Linked DNA regions of Caenorhabditis elegans. Each later gene encodes a partner of the first gene's protein in a complex. Each region holds a gene or a part of one and is shown on either strand. Other genes may lie near its edges.

Evidence for each region.
Region 2: dys-1 (region 1) and stn-1 share a complex: the UniProt entries of both Caenorhabditis elegans proteins name them as parts of the dystrophin glycoprotein complex.

Annotation. Positions count from the first base shown.
Region 1 is NC_003279.8:11,554,274-11,561,164, reverse strand, and holds the start of dys-1 (Dystrophin-1), read left to right. Parts: upstream 1-3,313; 5' UTR 3,314-3,372; coding exon 3,373-3,442; intron 3,443-4,377; coding exon 4,378-4,697; intron 4,698-4,862; coding exon 4,863-4,987; intron 4,988-5,562; coding exon 5,563-5,678; intron 5,679-6,891. Other genes in the region: clec-101 (VWFA domain-containing protein), read left to right, coding at 44-528; F15D3.9 (SAM-dependent methyltransferase), read right to left, coding at 2,520-2,744, 3,110-3,130. UniProt on the Caenorhabditis elegans protein: Plays a role in cholinergic transmission and as a functional partner of dystrobrevin (dyb-1), necessary for muscle maintenance. Required for neuronal positioning. May play a role in the localization of slo-1 near dense bodies in the muscle.
Region 2 is NC_003279.8:9,498,902-9,506,905, forward strand, and holds stn-1 (Syntrophin-1), read left to right. Parts: upstream 1-2,366; 5' UTR 2,367-2,420; coding exon 2,421-2,516; intron 2,517-3,974; coding exon 3,975-4,096; intron 4,097-4,537; coding exon 4,538-5,453; intron 5,454-5,501; exon of another isoform or gene 5,502-5,564; coding exon 5,565-5,660; exon of another isoform or gene 5,661-5,826; coding exon 5,827-5,919; 3' UTR 5,920-5,930; exon of another isoform or gene 5,931-5,931; coding exon of another isoform or gene 5,932-6,075; intron 6,076-6,106; 3' UTR 6,107-6,257; downstream 6,258-8,004. Other genes in the region: F30A10.9 (PIN domain-containing protein), read right to left, coding at 5,932-6,075, 6,258-6,415, 6,467-6,615, 6,670-6,735, 6,791-6,864; Ubiquitin carboxyl-terminal hydrolase usp-48, read left to right, coding at 7,655-7,836, 7,889-8,004. UniProt on the Caenorhabditis elegans protein: Adapter protein that binds to and probably organizes the subcellular localization of a variety of membrane proteins. May link various receptors to the actin cytoskeleton and the dystrophin glycoprotein complex (DGC).

The sequences.
Region 1 (6,891 bases):
TCTTAACCATTCAAATTCAGTTGATAACTTTTGTCTTTTTCAGCAAACTGTTTCTGTCCGAACAGCTGGCACCAATACCAGCCAAAAGGTACCTGCATTCAACCAGTCACTTTGCCAGCTTCATGGAGCATTGCTCAAGCATCATGCCATCATAAGGGAAACAATGGTCACTTGGTCAATGAGTACAGCAGAGAAAAACACGATTTTGTGATGGCGATTTTGAAGACTTATAAGGAATTCCAACCTACTTATAAATATCATATCGGGCTCAATGGAAACTGCTCACTTTGGAAATGGGATCAGGCTAGCGGAGAAGAACAAGTGCAACTACAGGGATGGCAAATTTGGGCTCCGGATTTTCCGAGGTGCTCACCTATGCTCGAGATGCTCGAGGGGGTGACCTATGTAACGGATGGATGGATCAATGTTCCATCAAATTTCTATGCGAATTATGTCTGTGAAACATCAACTTGTGACACTGATAACTATTGCGCAAGGGCTAATGATTTTTTGTTGAATCGAGTTTAATAAAGGACTTATAAAAAGGATGGAAAATTGTGTTTATTTCAAGAAATTTTCAGACAAAAAACTCCGAGCATCTAGAGCCGTCTAGCAGCACGTCTTCTGTATCCGGATTGCTCAGCCTGTGGCTGGTCACCCTCTCCGTATCCGACGGTTCTTGGTGGGCATGGGCAGTAAGCAGCGTCTGGTCCTGGTGCTCCTTCACCTCCGGCCTCTCCAGCGGCTCCATCTGGTCCGGTCTCTCCGTCTTTTCCTGGTGCTCCGTCTTGTCCTGCAGCCCCGGCTGGTCCTTCTGGTCCCTGTGGTCCTGGAGCTCCCTGTCCGCGTTGTCCATTCTTTCCATCGGATCCCGGGGCTCCGGCTTCACCTGCGGCACCGTCGTTTCCAGCTGGTCCGTCTTCTCCTGGGGCTCCAGCCTCTCCGTCTGGTCCAGCTGGCCCTGGGGCTCCTGCTGGGCACTTGATGCAGTCGTGTTGGGCATAGGCGTCAATTGGGGATGGGATTCCGTCGTGACTGTTGTCTCCGGCCTTTCCTGGAGCTCCGTCGTCTCCTGGCTGATCTGGCGATCTTACATGGAAAAATATTTGGTAAAAATCAGATCATAGGTACTCTCAGCAGTGTTGTCCAAAATCGGAACACGGTAGGAGGATCAGTGCACCACAACTCGGCTGGGACATAATTTGTATAATTATATTGGCACAACTGTAAGTTTATGTATGCTGAATTCAGAAAATCTAGGTACATATAACCCATCAAAAACTATTGAAAAGTGGCAAAAATTGACAATTTTTTGTAAAAATTCACAATTTTGAAACTCCTCTAAAATGGTAAATTTTGTAGTTAGACGACTCAAAAATACAAAATTTACTCAAAAACATTTAAAACATTGCCCTTTTTTAGAATATAGTAGTTTTAAACATTATTTGGGAGATTTTCCGAATGAGAAGCTAATTTCGGAAAAATTCGGAAATTTATAAAGCCGCTTTTCATTCGAAATTTATTTTTATTTTTAAAAAAGTTTGGGAATTCTCAAAAACCAACTGTCCACCCGTTCCATTTAACAACCCAATTCTCAAATGTCCCCTCTAAAATTTTGATAGTAGAGCTCGCGGAGCACATCAGCAAAAGTAGCAGCTCCCAGGAAATGTCCGAATCATCATCAAATGCCGTTGGGGTATGTCCAAGAGGATGGTGCATTGTAACAATTGACTGACGACGGCAGCTGACGGATTGAGGGGTCCCCTCGTGCACACACGGGAATGCTCCGGGAGCACACACACACACTTTTCCATTACTATTTCCTACGAGAGTGTGGTAGACGTGCCGTTATTATTTTTTTGTGTTTTTGAGGTTAAAAATTGCTTCCAAGTCTGTTAAAAATATATTTGATGGCCTAGTTTTTGTTTTCTAGGCAGCCGAACTTGAATTTAAAAGCTTGACATTTTTGGTATGGTGGCTTAGAATTTCGAAAATTCAAGTTGCTTTCTTTTAACTTAAAATTAAAACATTTTTTGCGAATTTGAATTAGATGGCCTAGGATTTTCTGGAATGTTTAATTGAAAGATTTGGTTAGGCCACACAATTTCAGTTGCTGGCCTAGTTTTGATGTTCTAGGCCACCAATTTTTCTTTCAACTTTTCCGATGAATTTCACACACGTTCCAAACTTTCAGTAGTCACACTCATATTTTGCCTCATCTTTTTCATGGCCTAACTTTTCGATTTCGTGGCCTAGAACTTTGTCCATGAAAAAGTTTAGGCCACATGCTTTTTTTAAAAATATATCCCTTTTTATTGAAATGATTTTAAAAAAGTTTTTGTTAGACCCAAGATGATTGAGCCAAATTAGAGAAATTTGAAGTTGGTGGCCTAGAAAATTTCTAGACTATCAACTTCACAAGGCTCTAACTTGGCTGAAAATTATCATTTTCAGTTTTTTCAAGCCATATTTTTTGTTGAATTTTTGTATTTTCCTTCAAAATTTTTATTTTGAAAAAATCAATAATTAGAGATATCAAATGCATATTCCGATTGTTTCGCACAAATCTCATAGTCATTTGCACAACGAAAAGGAATTTGCGCAAATTCCGTCAAATCATGCTCCAAATTGTGCTCTTTTTCTGCTCCAAAACTGTGATCCATCCAATCGGATAAAATGCTTCTGTCCGACCCGTCGTTCGCACAATGCGTCCAAATTGTCTTCGCAGAACTGGCTTCGGTGGCCTAGAAATTCAAATTTTCTTGTGTTGCTGGCCTAGGATTGGTTCTCTAGGCCACTAAAATCAGCTTGATTTTTTTTTAAATGTTGATGTGTCACGTTAAATTTAACATGAATAGAGCTTCACCCATTTTGGTTTTTTTTTCGTTGGTGGCCTATGTTTTTCTAGGCCACCAACTTTAAATTTTAAATCAATATATTGTCAAATTAAAGGGTTTACTCACAATTAGCTCTTCACAAAAATCTACTTGAAAAACTCGAATTGGTCGCCTAGAAAACTAAAACTAGGCCACCAATATTTCGTTTTTAAATTTTTCTTCAAATTTTCTAAATTTTTTGAAATTAGAAAAACTAAAATAGAAAAACTTACACTTTTGTCACTGTTACTCATTTTTAGCAATATTTTTTTCTTTGAATTCTTTGAATTTTTTTTTAGAAATAAAAAATTTTCCAGAAAATTTCGTTCTTTTTTCGTAACTTTTATTTTTTGGAAAACTTCTAGAATAACCCCACGTTTTTTAAAAATAATTTTATATTCTACAACTTAATTTTTTTTTCTAATAAAAATCCCAATTTCAGATGCCAATTGGTGTATAGAATAGGCGAAAACGAACGAAAAAGTGCAACAACACCATGTTATTCTCGGGCGCCTCGACTGCGAAACCGAAAAAAGACGAGAAAAAGGACAAGAAAAGTGATCGCGGTGAGTTTTTTGAAAAATTTTTAAGACAAAAAAAAAAAGAAAAATCCCCGAAAAATGGCATAGAAATTTACCTTTTTTGATTTTCCAGGCCACCAACATAGTTTTCAGCATACATTTATTTTATATTTGTTTCTGTCTTACCGAGACCTTCAATTTGACAGCCATCATGCCTAGGATCCGACTATTTTGAGTTGGTGGCCTAACTTTTCAAGCCGTGACCGAGAAAATGCATTTGGGCCTGGACTTTAGACGCTCAGATTTTTGAAATGTTCTTAGTTTTTATTCCTTGTTAGGAGTATTCAAAAATTCAAAAATTGAATTTCAAATAGGTTCTGGGAGTTTTAAGTTGTTGGTGGCCGAGGAATTTCTAGGCGACCAATTTTAAATTTTGCCAGTAAGATAAAATTTGTAGAATTTTAAAGTGAAACAGTAATATTGTGTGCTTCTTAAAATTTAATTTCATAAAATTTAGCAATTTCTAAAAAAGTAAAAATTCTAGGCCACCAACTGAAAAGTTAGGCCATGGAATAAAATTTCCAAAGTATGGCAATATTGGTGTCATGTGAAAGCTATGAACGTGCAGAAGTCAGTGAAAAGCATTGTAATAATGAAAAATTATTTTTGTGGCCTAGAAAAAGCAAACCTAGGCCAGCGAGTCAAATTGGGTGGCCTGAATTTGGATTTCTAGGCCACTAGTTAACAAATGCCATTTTTCTAGCAAACTTCTTGAAGAGAACTAACTGTTGCCACCAATACTCTGTTGAACATATTTTATGCTGATCTAGAAATTTTGCTGGCCTAGAAATCTAAAACTAGGCCACCAAACTGTAAATCTGCTCAAAATTCATATTTTTCGATTTTTCAAAAACCGATTTGTAGAGTTTTTGACGGAAAATTTGAATTTGAACGTTAAAAGCTATGAATAAAATTTTCAGACCCAAAAAATGAGCTCCAAGAGTGGGTATTCGTGCGCTGGGCCAATCACCTGCTCGGAACAGAACGTCTAACCGATTACAAAAGCCTTCAAGATGGTTCAAACGCGATTTTTGTCTACCAAGCAATTATTGGACAGACTATGGCTGTACTGGGTAATCCATCCGACGATTGGCCTAATGTTTTGCAAAATATCGGGGATTCCAAGACGAATCCGCAGGAAGTTATGGAAGGGCAGCAGAAAGCGGTGCTCTCAGCCTGGTGGCAGCTTGTTCAGTTTTTCTGGAAAAATAATGCACCCGTGCAGTTACGGGAGGAAAAGGTGAGTTTTTTGAGTGTAAAATCAAGTGGAAATCTTTAAAATTGATAAAGTTACGGGGGTTTGAAAAATTAAAAAATAAATAAAAAATTTTGAAAAAAAAAATTTCGAAAATTTTTTTTAAAATTTTTTTCCTAGAATTTTTTCTATTAAATTTTCAAATTTCAGCTCTCCGAAGCCATCAAACAATGGTGCATTGAAGTCATGAAATCATACGAAGAAATTGACGTCTACGACTTTACATCTTCCTTCCGGGACGGCCATGCCTTCAATTACCTCATACATTCTTATGAGTAAGGGTTTTTCATTAGAAATTAATTTATTGATAATCAGTTTTTCAAGAGTTTCTAGATTCCATGAAACATGGTTTTATTCGAAAAAAAATTCAAAAATTTCAAAAAAAAAACACATTTTTTTGGATTTTTTCAATTCTAAATTTTCCAAAACAACTTTTAATCTTATTTTTTTTTAATTCAATATCAAATTTAAATTCAACATTTCATTACAGTCTATTTGACACCCATAATGCCTAGGCTCCGAAATGTTCAAGCTGGTGGCCTAACTTTTCACTACATGGCCTAGAAAACTCACTGGGACTTCAAATTTGGAAAACATAGGCCCTGGAATTTAATATTTTAAAGTATAGCAATATGGGTGTCATTTGAAAGGTTTCGGCGTGTAGAACTCGAGAACCCCATCAAAAAGAATTTTAGAGAGGGTCTCGCCGCGAAAACTACAGTACCCATGTGATTTTCGTGGCGGGATTCAACTTTTTCCAAAACTAATCATGATTATACTCAAATGAAAGCTCTCAGTGCGACAAACACAGTTAATATAGTTTCGAGCCCGAAATCCTGAACATTTTCAGCCGAAAACTGATAAACCTCACAAAAACCGCCGAAATGAGTGCCATCGACAGGATTGAAAACGCTTTTGCTGTCGCTGAAAAGACATGGAATGTGCCAAGGCTTCTGAATCCAAAAGGTTACTATTTCTAACCAAAAAAAAAATCGAATTCTACGCTGAAAAACCACGAAAAAACTGTTTTGGGCAAAGTGGCTTAGTGGAGAATAGGTGCACAGCTACGGAAAAACATACCAGGGTTCGACCCCCCGCTGCGGTCAAAATTTTTGTTTCTCAATTTTGAAAGTTTTTGAAAATTTTTGAAATCATTCACTTTTTATTTTATTTGAAAATGAAGATTTTGAGCCGAGTTACAGCAGTTTTACGCCTAGGCACAAGATTGACTACCTGACTGCCTAGTAGGTTTTAAAAAACTGATAGGCAAGCGTGTAGGCAGGCAGGCAGTGATGAAGACTTTCCTTCCTACAAGAACTGTCAACACTGAATTATCTATTTTCCAGTAATTCACTTGAGTTAGAGCTTCAATGCGGTAAGTCAAAATGGGTTATAAGTAGGCGCGAAGGCAAGTAGGTAGGTATTACGGGACAATGAGATCATGAGAATGCCTACTTTTCTGGCGGCAAATATCTCGTAGCGAAGGGACCGGCGTCTCTCTTCGCCATATGCTCTCTCGCTGCCGCGGCCTGTCAATATTTTCGCGCCAGTAAATAGGCATTCATCTCATGGTCCCGTAATAGGTAGGTAGGCACAAGATAGGTACATAGGTAGGCATTCAAAAAAGTAGATAGGCACAAAGTAGACACATAGGTAGGCAGGCAACAAAGGGTAAAAAGCCTACCTACACTGATGTTTTCCGCGTAATTTGGTTTTAAGTATATAGGTAACAAGACGAGAGATCACAGATAAAAGAGACGCAGACAGATTGCGTAACCGCCCGATCAGGGAGAACCATATATCCCTTTTGTCCCCCTTTCTGTCTTTTTCTCTGCCACCCTCTCTCACTTTCCAATAATCTCTCGCCTGGGGGGTCTCTGTGTATCTCTAATTAAGATGTCCCCGTGTACCTGTAGAACACGGAGAATAGGAAGACAAACTAATCATTATATAGACTATCCGTTTTTCTACGACATACTACTACTACTACTTTTGATACTTTTTTTTCAAATTTTGAAGAATTTTGAGTATTTTGTAAAAATATTGAGTTCAAACCAGCAATGTAAAAATTAAAGATGAATAAAATTTTTGCTCACATTTCAAAATTCCCTAATTTTGGCAGTTTTTAGGATATTATGCTGGTTTTTAGCTTAAAATGAGCACAACAGCTTATATTACA
Region 2 (8,004 bases), 2.1 Mb from region 1:
TGGCAAAAGATCGGGAAACCGCATCTCGAAAAGGTCCACCACAAAATTTGCTGTGCCAATGGTACTGAAATCGCTGTCAAAGGTAGAGTGCTCGTATGGTTCAAAGTCAAAGGTGTCGAATACACTGAGTATGTGTACGTCTGGAACAGAAACAATAATCTGTTAGGCACCAGTTGGATGCGCCACTCGCCTCAAATGCGTGATGCTCTGGCCGTAATGGTTAATCATATATCCACTGTGGATAACTCGAAGCAAAATATGCACTCGTTCTCAAGGATTCCTACTGGATACAAAGATCGTGCTGAAAATGTTGAAAGACATGTTGTTGCATCTGCGCCGCGTAGTAGTAAGCGCCAGTATGTAAGATTTGCGCGCAATAAAGCGTTTCAGATTGGGCAATTGTGCCTTGCTCGGGTTCAAGGAGAGCACAATTTTGGCTGGATTTATGGAGTGGTTCAAAGACAATTGAACGGAGTACTCTATGAAGTACAGTTGGGATCGAGAATTCAAAGAATTCACACGAACCAACTCCGTCACATTTGCGGTCGCCGGAGCCGTGGGAATGACTATGCTTCATCATTCATCGAAAATCCGTGTAAATTGTCGCTCTTGGAAAACATTCCGCGCTCTAGTTGCCGCCAAAAATTTGTCGCTCAAGGTGTCCGTGGGGAGGGGAGGGAAGCTAATCCAGTTTTAGTTTCAGATTCTTCTGTTTTTGGTTTTAGTGCTCCAGATTTGTCAGCTTGTGATTCTGTTGGTTCTCGATCTGCTCGTGAAGTCGTCTCGTCGGTTGCCGGCAATGCTCGAAATGCTACTTGTGCAAATATAACTACGATTCATGTTACGGAGAGCAAGAGTTCGTTGAAGAAAAGCCACAGAAGACGTCGCCGTGTGGCAAAGAGTCGCCAATCATATACTTCTGGAAGTTCGCCAATCAAAGAAACCCATCTGGACCCCCTGCTGGAATCCGATGTTGCGAGTGACGGCGAGCGTTTCCAACCCGGCATCCTCCTGTGTCATTCTCTTCGACAGAGTCACCCACGACAAGTTGTGCGAGGATCAGCCCCAAACACTGATCATGCCTCCACTCGCCGCAGAGGTCGATATACCGCCTCTGGTCGTGATGCCCCTAGCCCAGGCATAATTTCTGGCTTTTTGTCATATAAGAGGGGAGATGTTGTGGACGGAACGTAAACCTGAACTTTATACAGACGTGACCTTTGGGTCATCATGAACTTATCGCGTAAGCGACCTCTCTTTATAATTCATTACTTCTTACACTTTCTTGTAATAAACTACTTCTCTCCTTGTCTCTCGCTCAATACACAACAAAGCTCAACGTCAAAAAATTGAGAAACAATAACTGGTGGAGGGGAGGGAGGGAAAAAGAAATCAGATACGGTCAATGATCTAAATGTTTGAAGAAAGATCAAGGAACAAGATTCTAAAATTATTCAATTTTTTCTCAAGTTTTTCAGAATTGTTTGACACAGAATAGAATAGCTTTTGGAAGAAAAAACATTGATGGATTTTCAGATGGATTTTCTATAGATTTTTAAAGATTGCATTTCTGCTGGGGTACTGTAGTTAGAGAGCTAAAGTATCTAGAGCAGCAATTGAAAATTAAATTTCATCACGAAAAACAGAACACCTAATAGTAATTTCAATTTATTTCGAAAATAGGAATTAAATTGGATAATATTTAACTTTCACTGTATAAAAAAAGTTGTAAAAGGGAATACTTCTGATTAATGTAGTAATTGCAATTGGTTGTAATATATCGTACGACACAGAAAACTACAACTACAACCAAATGAGAAAGAAAATAAAGAAAAGAATAAAGGATCAACTTGCTTCTTCTCTCTTCAACAATACAATTGCATGTGTTCGTCACGTAGTGTGTAAGTGTTCGTCTCGTGGCGGGAAGCCAACGGGATTCTTCGCCCAACACACAATCATAACCGATATAAATTCGAGGCACCAAGCTGAGAGTCAGATGGAAAAAGAAAGAGTGAGATGTAGAGAAAGAAGCGAGACTCGGAGTGCGCGGTAGAGTTCATCAGAGAGCATGTTAGGCAGAAGAGGGAGCAGGAGTGCCGTCGCACTAGCTCTCCGGCTTCATCCGACGGAGAAGAGAGCAGTTGAGAGAAGAAGAAAAACGAGGGGAAATAGAAGAGAGAGGACTCCTCTGCTGCTCCCACAGCCCAAATATTCTATTATTGCCCCTTTTCTTTCTGTTTCTTTGCTTCTTAGCATCTTTCTCTTCTGGTTTTTTTTCTCGCTTTCCTTCATTCCGCTACAAATCCTCCCGAATTTGAATTCAAATTTTTGGCATAAATTGGTATATGCAATATTCAACTTTACAGAGTACAATCGGCTCAATTTCGTAGTATTGCTCCGATTAGATCGGCGTCGTTTCGATGGCCGCCGTTCGATCCGGCCTGGTCGACATTTTTGTTCAGGGACAATGGCATCGTGTATTGGCTACTCTCGATCCAACTGCTATCACATTACAAGTAATTTTTTAATGATAAAATATTCCGAAAACTAGAAAACCACTGGAAATTATTGTAAAACAACTCATTTTTCGCGAAATTCTAAAAATAAATTGGATGGTTTCTAAAAACGAACAAAAATCTATATTTGAAACAATTATTGTTAAATAATTTAAATTTCGGTATAATAAAATATCATTCATTTTTCTAATGTGGAATGATACAAGTTGCTGAAAAATAGTGGTCGTTCTTATTAATACCAAAATGCGAAATTTTGCTATTCAAGACAAAAGAATACGGTACCGTGTCTCAACACGATCGAGCACGGGTTTCTGGCTCGACCCCTCGGTGTATTTTGTGCAAACACCGTCACGCGCAAATGCATACACTTTTTCAACGCGCTGCGTGAAAATTCCTCTTGCGATTTCAAAAAAATTTTCCCGCCATTTCAGCGTCCGATGGAGCGCGGGGTCGAGCCAGAACCTCGTATCGAGCAGTTATAAATAAATTTGTCGGAAAAGAATGTGCGCCTTTATGAAGTACAGTAGGCTCTAATCCTCACTATTTCGCAGACTGTTTCGTTTTAGAAAAAGCAGCTGCTGGAGATTGGGTCTGGAGATTACTGTAGGTTTTAAAGGCGCACACACATTTTTCACACCTTTAATCCTTTAATCTTTTTGTAAGTTTTCAGTCGTGTCGAGACCAGGCACCGTATTCTGGCGTCATAAAACATTTATTTTTTTACGAAATTACGTCGAACATAAGTTTTCTGATGCCCACGAACGAAATATATCATCTGAAGAGATCCATCTATGGAAACCAGAAACGGGAATGGGATCATATTACAAATAGTCTATGCTTCTTCTTCTTCTTTTCCTTTCGCCACATTTTGGCTCATTTTTCAAAAAAGGAGGCGAGTTGGCTATGAAAACTTATTAGTCGTTCTTGCTAGAAGAAAAAAGAAAGAATGGAATGAGGCTACTTAGAGATGAAGTTTGTATATGATACGACTTAAAAGGAGAAAACGGATGGAGAAAGGTATACTGTGACTACAATAATTATCTTCTTGGAGTCTATATGAACTCTTCGTTCCGACATATATTCTCAAGTATTAAAATGTGTATAACTCTTTTGCTTTCTTATCTTTCTCATCTCTGGTATGACAGTCCAACTGAAATTTTGGGAAAAGACAAAGAAAATATACCATTGCTTGTCAAAAAAGAAGTCGTCATGTCATCTACTCCCCCTTCTCCAAGTATTCCGTCAATCGAAGCTCCGGCTTTTGACAAATTGGTATGCCAGCTTGCATGATTTCATTTTACTCAGTCTCCTCCAAAAATTACATTAGCATGTGTGAATTTGTTTGAAATTGTTTAAAATTTGGTCGGGAAACGTGGAAGGGGATATTTATGAGCAAGGGAAGTGAAATCCAAAGAGAAATGGGTTCAAGCTGTGATGAATAAATATACTATTTTTCAGACAATGGAGCAGAATGAGGCTGAAGCAGAGAAACGGACAGTTCGAGTTGTGAAATATGATGGAAATGGATTAGGAATTTCAATTAAGGGAGGCAGAGACAACAACATGCCTATTGTGATCAGGTATGAATGAACTTGCGGAGATTTATACATCTCGTGTGCCATTTCGTGATTTTACGTCAATTTTGAAATTTTGATCTATGATAAATAATTTTTAGTTTTAATGACAAGGGCAATTCTCTAGAGAAAATTTTTATAATAACTGAAAAATGGAAGAATGGACTAGCAAACCTCGTACACAATCGTGTGTCGATTTACTCAGCGTGTGTACTCCCCGTGGAGAAGCATTTAATTTTTTCAGAAGATTTTACAGTTTTCGGTCAAAAACAGAAAGTATTTCCCGAATTATCCAAAATTAGGAATTTAAGGCGATAACTGTGAAATTGTTTGCAAAAATGTACACTTCTCCTCGGGCAGTACACACGATACGTAAATCGACACTTTTTTTTCTGAAATAGAATGTTTAATTTAGCAATTAAAGAACAAAATTAATTTCGATTGTAGCAAAATCTTCAAAGGAATGGCAGCGGATCAGGCTGGAGAACTATTTCTTGATGACGTCATTATCTCTGTGAATGGAGAAAACCTTCTCGATGCTTCACACGAAGAAGCTGTAAGAGCATTGAAACGAGCTGGACGGGTTGTTGACTTGCAAGTACAGTATAGAAGAGAGGATATGATGCATCGGGAAAATATTGTGGAAAATGTTGAATGGGATGATGATATTCGGGAACGAGTTAGAACAATTGGTTTAAAGCTTGCATATGTGGCAAGAGCTGGAATAGATGCAGATGCAGAAGGTAGAATTCTAGAAATGAGAAGTCCATCAGGAAGGTATTCCCTAGCAATGAGATGTTCAAGTAGTGAAGAAGCAGATGGATGGTTTGAAGCTTTACATGCCTGTACCACGTGTCTTCTGACTCAGGCACTGGCTCAAGTCAATATAATGCTCGGTAACAACCCCCAAGTGAGACATATGGGTTGGATTGCAGAACAAGTATCAGAAAATGGAATTTCAATGTGGAAACCTAAATTTATGACGCTTACGAATAGTGAGATCTTGTTCTATGAAGCTGTTCCACAGCTGAAAGCAGAATGGGCAGAGCCAAGACTAGTACGTCCTCTGGTGGCAACAAGAGTCGTTCAGACAAGTTCTCGAACTGCGCCAGTAATTAAAGGTCTCACTGATGTGATCTCTTTCCGTATGAGAACTGGAACTCAACAAGGTGTTCGGACACATACGATCCGGGTAGAAACTCATGCAGAACTGGCACGATGGGTTCGTGCAGTAGTGATCGGTGGATATGAAGCATGTCTTTCTACATCTCAAGTCTCTGCTCCTTGTCTTTGGCGAGGCGAATCATGCGAACTAATAGTTAATCTAGACAATGGAATATCATTACTTTCGTCGACTGGAGAGGTGAGCTCATTGGAATAATTTAGCAATAAGAAAGTGATAAACGTTTTCTAGATTAAAACAAAGATTTATAACATTTAGAGAAGCTACATTTTCTTAAAGCTTACAATTCAGGTACTGTGGCAACATTCGTTTGAAACGATTCGCGCCACCGGCGATGATGGTGGTCGTTTTCTCTGGGTCGATTTTGGACCACCACATGGTGAACAGGTAAAAATGGATTTTATTTTAACCTTAATTTCATACTTATAGAAAAAAAACGGATTTTTTTTGTGTAAAGTTTTTGAATAAAAAAAAGGATAGGCAACAAAACAATAAAAGCAGATCAACAAGTAATATTCAAAACAAAAGAAGCATAAATGAATGAAAAATTTAGGAATTGGATTTGCTAAATTCCGCAAAGCCAGTCGTGTTCATTCTTCATTCATTTCTCGCCACCAAGGTGTATCGATTAGGATTGTACGCGTGAAGCATCAAAAGGTTAGTTCATTGGAGCTCCATATGCATCAGGCATTCGCTCAATGGAGAATCTGTGATTGACAATGTACATGATCGGAACTCCTGGGATCTTTCGGATGCGGCGCTTCAGATCACGATCACAAGTGGCCACAATATAGCATTTATGCTGAAAATTATATTATTTTTTTCATTTTCAGATTCGTTATTTGTTCAAGTTTGCCAAACAAAAAGACTGCAGCAATACCACATTCCGTCTCCTGCCTCTTCTCGTCATAATAGATTTTATTCGTTTAAGATTTGTTAGATTTTATTAAATGAAAAACAATGAAAAATTATGAATAAACGAACCTGTGTAACTCTTTGAACCAAACAATCATCAGCATATGTTCCTTTGTGCTCACACTTCAGTCTCTGCACACGTGGATCTTTCAGAACTTTCAGAGCAATTTTGAATCTTCTCACTTTTTCCAATTCAGCCAATACACAGTCAGTTGCGTACACAATAGCTGAATTATTGTGATAAAATACAAGAAAACGAAAGAAAGTGTATGACTCACTTTTCGCGAACAGACAATCCATGAATCCTTGAAACATGTCAATGCGATTTTTGACGGCGAAATTCACAAAATTGGTATCGACAATAACGTGAAATGGTGGACCCAGCTGTGTATTGTATTTCATAAACATAGCGGATGAGATTTTTGGACTGAAATTATGAATTATTATTGTCTGGACACATATTCGTACGAATAAAACTTACGCACGGACCAATTTGAGTTCTTGTTCATCTACTTTCGGTGTTCTAATGACTCTTTGTTCTTCTTTTCTGAAATATTGCGTTTTAAATCAAGGTTATTCGATAAAATTATCGTTATCCTTACATTCTGTTGTCTGTCTTTTTGACAAGCTTGTTTACAGCGCTTTTTCTGGCGTTGGACTTCAAGCGTTTACCCATTTTCTGTAAATTAGAACATATATTTGTAAATTAGCACATATATTATCGAAGAAATTTGGAAAAAACGAAGAAAATCTTTAAAATAAGAATCTCGAACAAAATATCGAGACCCGAAGAACTCGGGGGATGTCCAATTGGGGGGATTACCAACTCGGGGGATTGGCCCCGCCCACAGAACCGTGGCTTGCAATACGCCCATTTCTGCAACTGCCGCACGGTTTTGAAACTGTATTTTTCTTGTTAATTCTCGCTCTATTGAGAAAAATACAGTTTCGAAACCGTGCGGCAGTTGCAGAAATGGGCGTATTGCAAGCCACGGTTCTGTGGGCGGGGCCAATCCCCCGAGTTGGTAATCCCCCCAATTGGACATCCCCAGAGTTCTTCGGGTCTCAAAATATCAGAAAAAATTTTTGCGAAAAAGTCCGCAGAGTTGGTGCTCCGTGTATGCACCAGTCAATGCATTTAATCTGACGCACAAACCAGCATTTCAAGAAATTGCATTCAATGTGCATCGCATATTCAAATTTCTGTCAGCTATTTATGTTTTTATTTTATTGCCCCGTTTCTTTTCTCCGCGGACTATTGATTATTGACGATGTGGAATAATTCATACACGAACTTTTAAATCTTAACGCCAAGAAAAAGTGCAAGAATTCAGTTTAAAATTTGAATAAAAAGTAAAATAATATTTTCGCGTTGTCATGTTTTCAAAGTCTGCTTTTATTTTTATTCTTAACGAGAACACTTCCTTTAATAAAGGAATGTCTAAAAAGATTTTCAATTTCAGAAAATGACAAAGGAGACTGACAAAAAGCCAAAAGAACGTCCGAATCAAAGAAAAGTTGCATTTCGAAATGAAGCAATAAATGCATTAGTAAATACAGATGAGGACCAAGTCACATTTTCGAAAGCAATGGAAGTTGCCAAATTAGATTGTCAAAAGTGTCTTCTACACGATATGCATAGTTCAAAGTAAGCATTTTTATTAAACAAACTATAATTAATTTTGTTTTTATCGATTCAGGTCATCGAATTGTCGCGATAATCCATTTTGTATACATCGATTAGGACTCGAGAAGTTTGAAAAGTTGATAACTCAGGAGCAGGAAACTAAAGAAGAAGCGAAAAAAGATCAAAAGC